Macaca mulatta: one gene and its partner. The protein of the gene in region 2 purifies or fractionates together with the protein of the main gene of each other region. This does not show direct contact. Links are inferred from orthologs where the notes say so. Each region holds a gene or a part of one and is shown on either strand. Other genes may lie near its edges.

The links. The genes of interacting proteins can lie anywhere in the genome.
Region 1: the proteins of CBX1 (region 2) and SUV39H1 purify together in Homo sapiens (affinity purification with mass spectrometry; 3 studies listed by BioGRID and IntAct, with this or other methods). This does not show direct contact. The link is inferred for Macaca mulatta from reciprocal best matches to the Homo sapiens genes CBX1 and SUV39H1.

Annotation. Positions count from the first base shown.
Region 1 is NC_133426.1:48,776,311-48,779,810, reverse strand, and holds part of SUV39H1 (histone-lysine N-methyltransferase SUV39H1), read right to left. Parts: exon of another isoform or gene 3,170-3,500; coding exon 2,507-3,169; intron 1-2,506. UniProt on the Homo sapiens protein: Histone methyltransferase that specifically trimethylates 'Lys-9' of histone H3 using monomethylated H3 'Lys-9' as substrate. Also weakly methylates histone H1 (in vitro).
Region 2 is NC_133421.1:61,909,832-61,913,880, reverse strand, and holds the start of CBX1 (chromobox protein homolog 1), read right to left. Parts: upstream 2,801-4,049; 5' UTR 2,726-2,800; coding exon 2,719-2,725; intron 1,589-2,718; coding exon 1,471-1,588; intron 1-1,470. UniProt on the Homo sapiens protein: Component of heterochromatin. Recognizes and binds histone H3 tails methylated at 'Lys-9', leading to epigenetic repression. Interaction with lamin B receptor (LBR) can contribute to the association of the heterochromatin with the inner nuclear membrane.

The sequences.
Region 1 (3,500 bases), on a different chromosome or scaffold from region 2:
TAGGACCCTATCCAGTCAGGCTGGGTCCTGTAGCCAGATGAGTTACAAAAAAACTTGGTCTTCTGGACATTTTGGATTTGCTGAAGTTTGGACTGTGCTGATAATGTTTGTATCAAACTTACTGTGTACTGAACACTGTTCAAGTGCTTTTTCCAAGTGCTTGATACATAGTAACTCATTTAATAATTTTTGTAACAAGTGTGTGAGTTGAGTGCTATTATCGTTCCCATTTTGCAGATTAGTAAATGCAGGCACAGAGGTTAGTGACTGCTGATGAGTAGTGGAGCTGGGTTTCGGCCTCAGGTAGTCAGGATCCAGAGTCCACTCTCCTAACCATTTGCTATACTGTCTCTTCAGAGGGGGATGCGGGAAGATGAGTTTGGCTCTTTCCGGAGGCCTGTGGCAACATCAGGAGGACCCACAGATCTGAGAGTGCTGGAGGGCGACCAGGAAATAGTGCAGCAAGAATGTGTGGAGAGCAGGAAGGGTGAGGACAGGGCTGAGAGGATCCCTGGAAACCTTGATGTTTCCAGGGTAGAGGATTAAAGACACTAAGGAAGAGCAGCCAGAAAACTCTCAGGCCCAGGAGGGTCCGAGGCGGCCCTTGGGGTATAGAGTCTTCCTCCTCGACTGTCAGGACCCTGTGTGGTGGACAGTGTTTCCTCCAGATGCCAGTACAGTGAGGCTGAGATACTTCTTGCTCTGTGCAGCTCCTAGGACGGTGGACTGTCGGGGTCCTGTGGGGTCTGGACATGTCCTCCTCCAGAGAGTTTGGGTTCCTTCAACCTCTGGACACTTCCTCCAGAGTGTCAGGACACTGAGGGCATGGACACTTACCCCGATACTGTCAGGGTGCCCTTGGGTATAGACTAGATCTCCAGGCTGTCTGGATCCCTCTGGGGTGAGGACACTTCTTTTTCCTGTCATGACAGCATGGGTGTGGACACTTCCTAAATCAGACCAGGTCCTCTAGAGTGTGGAGAGCACAAGCTCTTCCTCCAGGTCACTGGGGTCACTGTGAGACATGGACTTCCTACAGATTATCAGGACTCCCTCCTGCTCCCACTGTCAGGAGCCCTCAGGGTGTGGACACCTCCCCACTCCTCCTTCTAGATGGCCAGGTCCTGTGGCATGTGGACATCTCCTCCAGCAGGCCAGCAGGGTTATCTGGACAGGGTGTGGCTGTCTCCTTGCCCAGACTGTCAGGGTCCTCTGTGGTATAGATTGTTCTGCCCAAGATTGTCTCTGTCCCTGTGGGGTGTGACCCTCTCTACTTTACAGTTTCTCAGAGCAGGAGCCTCTCCTTGTCATCAGTATCAGTGCTACAGTGTGGACACCCTCATGTGAGTGTTCCTCAGGCCAGTTTCTGTCACTTTCCAACCATATCACACCCCTAAGGGACCTATGGAAATATATACAGGTATCTGGGGTTGTCACTATGACAGGGCACACTCATGGATTTAAATGGTAAAGGTCCAGGAATGCTAAATGTCCCCCAATGCATGAGACAGTTCTACATAACAAAAATTCATCTCATCCCAAATGCTAACTGCATCCCATCTTAGAATGTGACATTTTTCTGTTGTAGATACTTGTTATCTACTTGCTAGTTATGGCTGTGCTTTAGCCTTGTGCAGCTGGGCACATGGCTAAAGCACATCCCGTTGCCTCCCTTGCACGGAGGTAAGGCCAGTGACTCAGTTCCAGCCAGTGGAGCATGAGCAGAAGTGATGGGTGCTGCATCTAGGCCTGGCCCACTAGGATGGGCCCCTTCTATCCCCGACTTGGCCCGCCTGCTAGGCAATGCTGATGATCTAGTGGTGACTCCAAGGCTTCAAGACACAGCAAAGGCACAGGAGGGAAAGAGCCTCGGTATCCCAGTCGCTGTGTGAAAGGATACCCACCCAAACCCCCACAGTGGACTGTTCCATAAGCAAGCAAACTTGTAATGTGCAAAGTCACTAAGATGAGGGAGTTGTTTTTACAATGGCTGGCTTGCCTAGTACACTCAGCTTTCCCCAGTGTCCTGAAAGTCTAAAGGAGTTAGCCAACCTTTGTCCAAAGCATGTCTCATCCTACTCCAGACTGCGTTCCTTCTGTGCAGACTGGTAAAACAATGCTTCTCAGGCAGATACTGCTTGGTGATAAGATGGGCCCTTGTGAAATGAGAAGAGGAAGTGCCTTTCCAGCTGATGCAGCCCTATGCCAGACCACATGGCCTGATACAAGGAATGCTAAGGCTGCCTGGATCTCAGCTCCCACTTTTCTTCTTTGCTAAGTACCCTGATAAAGTCAACCCAGTGCAGAAGTATTTCGGTGTTTCTGTAACCACCAGCATGGAATACTTGTCCCTGCCCGATGTCCCTATGACACTCTTAGATCAGTGTACCAGGCCTTTCCCACAGGGAAAGCAGGGAGTTGCAGACACACAGTGAGGAGAGCTGGGTGCACACTGTGAACACAGGGTGGGAAGAGCTGCACACACACACTGGTCCCATCTCCCTACCTCTCCCACGTACTCCATGACGAAGCTGTTCTTGCGAATCTTCTCCAGGGTGCGGACGCCCCAGCCACGCCCATCATCCGTGCGGAAGATGCAGAGGTCATATCGGATGCCTTTCTGTACCACGCGATTCGGGCAGTCATAGCCACAGCGGCAGCGGGAGTTGCACTCGTAGATGGGCAGCCCGGCTCGAAGCCGCACCTGGCCCTGGTCATTGTAGGCAAACTTGTGCAGTGATGCCCCCGGGCAGCAGCCTCCAGTGGGTGCCCACAGACAGTCCTGGCACTCGCAGCCCACAGCCACCTGGTTGAGGGTGATGCCCTCACCAACACGGTACTCATTGATGTACACGAAGGCCCGCGGGGGGCCGTCCAGGTCCACCTCATTCTCTACAGTGATGCGTCCCAGATGGCTGCGCTTGGCATTGAGCTCCTGCTCCCAGCGACGGAGCGCCCGCCTCTGCTTGGCCTTCTGCACCAGGTAGTTGGCCAAGCTTGGGTCCAGGTGCCGGGGGGTCTTTGACCGGTGGTGCCGCCGGAGCAGCTCCCTCTCTAAGTCCTTGTGGAACTGCTTGAGAATACGCACACACTTGAGATTCTGCCGTGGCTCCCAGGTGCTCTCTGAGTCTGGATATCCGCGCCATTTCACCAGGTAATATTCCTGTTCCTGTTGGGGGTGGGTAGGGGAACGGTGGTACCATAAGTGGTGAGATCTTTGGGCCAGCCTTCATGGGGCTTCCATGCCAAAGCTGATGGATAACACCTAACCCACCCCACCCCTTTTCTGGAATGACTTCATGCGGTGGTTAAAAAGCATGGGCTCTAGCGTGAGGATTACCAGGTTCAAATCCTGCTCTCCCCCTTACTGTCTGTCCAAACTGTTCCAACTTTTAATTAATCTCCCAAACCCACTCCCCTCCTTGGTCTTCCCCATCATCAGCTCCCTCCTTCTAGCTGTTCAGACCGGAACTCCTGGAGTCATCCTTGAATCCTCTTTT
Region 2 (4,049 bases):
AAGCAAAACTCCATCTCAAAAAATCAAAAAATAAAAAATAAAAAGAAATGAAAAGAAAAATGGGCACAGTGGCTCACCCCTGTAATTCCAGCATTTTGGAAGGACGAGGTAGGAGAACTGCTTGAGCTCAGGAGTTCAAGACCAGGCCGGGCAACATAGTGAGACCTCATCTATACAAATAATAATAAAAAATTAGCCGGGCATGGTGGCATACACCTATGGTCCCAGCTACTTAGGAGGCTTGAATAGGAGGATCACTTGAGCCCAGGAGGTCGAGGCTGTCTTAATATTAAGACATGTGAGGCCAGGCATGGTGGCTCACACCTGTAATCCCAGCACTTTGGGAAGCCGAGGCGGGTGGATCATGAGGTCAGGAGTTCAAGACCAGCCTGACCAATATGGTCAAACCCCGTCTCTACTAAAAATACAAAAATTAGCCGGGCATGGTGGCACGTGCCTGTAATCCCAGCTAGTCAGTATGCAGTTTCTTGAGACTTTCCTGATGAGATCAGTGATGAATTTAATAAATGTGATTTTTTTTACATTGAATAAATGCATTAACATTGACTGATCTGCATAATTCTGTACCAGTATTTTTTAAATGGCTTCAGACTCCCTATTGCACTTAACCTTTTTTTTTTTTTTTTTTGAGATGGAGTCTCGCAGTGTCTCCCAGACTGGAGTGCAGTGGCGTGATCTCGGCTCACTGCAAGCTCCACCTCCTGGGTTCACGCTATTCTCCTGCCTCTCCTGCCTCAGCCTCCCGAGTAGCTGGGACTACAGGCGCCCGCCACCACGCCCGGCTAATTTTTTGTATTTTTAGTAGAGACAGGGTTTCACCGTGTTAGCCAGGATGGTCTCGATCTCCTGACCTTGTGATCCACCCGCCTCGGCCTCCCAAAGTGCTGGGATTATAGGTGTGAGCCACCACGCCTGGCCTGCACTTAACCTTTTTTTTTTTTTGAGACGGAGTCTCGCTCGGTAGCCCAGGCTGGAGTGAGTGGCCTGATCTCAGCTCACTGCAAGCTCCGCCTCCCGGGTTCCCGCCATTCTCCTGCCTCAGCCTCCCAAGTAGCTGGGACTACAGGCGCCCGCCACCTCGCCCAGCTAGTTTTTTGTATTTTTAGTAGAGACTAATACAAAAATACAAAAATTTTGTATTTTTAAAAATTTTGTAAAAATACAAAAATTTTGTATTTTTAGTAGAGACGGGGTTTCACCGTGTTAGCCAGGATGGTCTCGATCTCCTGACCTCGTGATCCGCCCGTCTCGGCCTCCCAAAGTGCTGGGATTACAGGCGTGAGCCACTGCGCCCGGCCCACTTAACCTTTAAGAAATGACTCCATCTCCAAGGTGGTGTGTACTTAAAAAATAAATAAATAAATAAATAAACACTTCCAGTCTCGGCAACATAGGGAGCCTCTATCTGTATAAAAATTAAAAAAATTAACCGAGTATGGTGGCACACACCTGTGGTCCCAGCAGCTCCAACGGCTGAGGTGGGAGGATGACTTGAGCCCTGGAGGTTGAGCCTGCAGTAAGCTGTGATCCTGCCACTGCACTCCAGCCTGGGCAACAGAGCAGGAACCTGTCTCAAAAAAACAAAGAAAAGTTACCATTTGTTGAATTTGGGTAGTATCAAAGAAGAATATTCAAAATTGTTTGAGAAGGCTAAATATACTCTTCCTTTTCTCAACTACATATCTATTTAAGGCTGAATTTTCTTAATGTACCAAAACAACAGAGCACAACAGAGAAAGGGGAAGCACATATGAGAATCCAGCTATCTTCCTTAATTTATTTTTATTTTTATTTTTTTACAATGGAGTCTCCCAGGCTGGAGTGTAATGGCGCAATCTTGGCTCACTGCAACCTCCGACTCCTGGGTTCAAGCAATCCCCCTGCGTCAGTCTCCTGAATAGCTGGGATTACAGGTGCCCATGACTATGCCCAACTAATTTTTGTAGTTTTAGTAGAGACAGGGTTTCACCGTGTTGGCCAGGCTGGTCTCGAACTCCTGACCTCAGGTAATCCACCCGCCTCCAGCTCCCAAAGCGGTGGAATTACAGGCGTGAGACACCGTGCTCGGCCCCTTTCTTTTCTTCCTTTTAGCTGTTTTTCTTTTTTTCAGACAGGGTCTTGCTCTGCAGAGATCAGGGCTCCCTGCGGCGTCGAACCCCTGGTTCAAGACTTCCTCCTGCCTCAGCCTCCCTAGTAGCTGGGACTACAGGCACATGCCACCACGCCTGGCTAATTTTTAAATTTTTTTTTTGCAGAGACGAGAGTCTCCCTAAATTTTGGTAGGGCGTGTCTCAAGACTAGCCTCAAACGATCCTCCCGCCTCGGCCTCTCTAATAAGTGTTGGGATTACAGGCGTGAGCCACCGCGCTAGACTTGCTGAAATTATCTTTAAATAAGTTGTTAAAAGACCATCGCAAAAGTCTTCAACACATTGAACGGTTTTCTCTTGCTCCCTAGCTGCATGATGCTGCTTCCAGTTTGTTTTGGTGTGAGCCATCTGAGTCGCCGGACCCTCTCGAGTCTGGCTTTCACTCTGACAATCGGTCAGTGGCTTTACGAATCGGAATCGGAGTCCCCTTGATAGCTCCGCTGGGGAACAACAAACTACGAGGTTCCAATGGTGACTCTCGAGACTTAGTGAGGATCCAGGGATGTGGGCTTCCTAAAGCCCCGAACCTCCCACACTGCAGACCGTACCTCGCATTAAGGGAACAAGAGTAACAATCCCCTCACACCCCTCTGCTCTCGCGACCCACTGGCTGACCGTTGCGGACGCCCCCTGGCCGCTGATTGGCTTCCCCTGACAGTGGGCGGAAAGCGGCCCCGGATTGGATATCCGAGCCCATTCGCCGTCCCTCACCCCGCACCTGCGTCCACTCTCTAGCGTCCCAAGTGAGTGGAGGGGGGATCCCGACTCCAGTCCCGGGCCTTGGCAAGCGGAACTGCGCCGTTCGGAAGCGGGAATCCCACTCAGAGCCCGGGCCTGTAAAGGCGGGGCGTCCTGGGCAGCCGGGGTTAGGGCGTCTCCCGTCGTGCACTGGGGCACCGGCGACTCACCCGGAAGGAGAAGCCGTGATCTGGCTATATGGTGGGGCGCGGGCGGTGTCGCTGTGGGGAGCTGGTGCTGTTCTCAGGTGAGAGTGCGTGGGCGGGGCCTCGGGGAGTAGGGGCTGCGCTCAGGTGAGGGGGCGTAGGCTTGAGCGTCAGTAGTGGCACTCGGGATGGTGGCATCGCTTTACATCCTAGGGAGGGACTCTCTTACCACCCGGCATTAAGGCAAGGGCTTGCTGGGGATCCAAAAACCGACTTTTCAGTTTACCTTCAAAGTATATCTTTCACTTCCTACTCCCCCGGCTTAATCGGAAAGGAAGAAGGATCATGTGGACCTTTCGGTCCTAGTTTGTTGCGAATGGAGGAGGAGTGATCGTAGTAAAAGACTGGGGACATTTACTTAAACGGCTAAGACTGGGGGCAATGGCGAGTATTTTACGTGGACACGGGAGACTTGCGGTAGATTGTGGTCGCCGTTGTTAATTACCTTCCAAGTGAAAGGAGTAGGTTAGAGATGGACAAAAAGATGGAGCATAACTGCTTGGTTGAGATCACACAAAGCTTGGTCAGAACTGGGAGCTTCCTCTATCTAGTACGTGTGATATTTATAATTGGAGGGAGAGCTTTTTGAATTGCTATCTGCCATCTGGCACTAAGGGCTCAAGATTGAGTAAGAAGGGACGGTAGTCTCAGTAGTTCCATCTACTTTAATCACCTGATTTTTTTCTTAACCTGTCTCTTGAAGTTGTTTAAATGGGAGAGAAAATAAATGGTGAGACTAAAGCCTTGTATTGTTACTATATTAGAAGCTTTACGATGAATCTACTTTGTAAACAGCAAACAATTGGGTACTCACCAGCGCTACTGGTGCTGGTACAGGTGAAGAAAGTGAAGGAAACTTCAGATGTGGTTGAAAGGGCCCAGGAAATGTAGTTAACACCGAGTTATGTAATTAGCTATGGTCACTGACTCTAGCC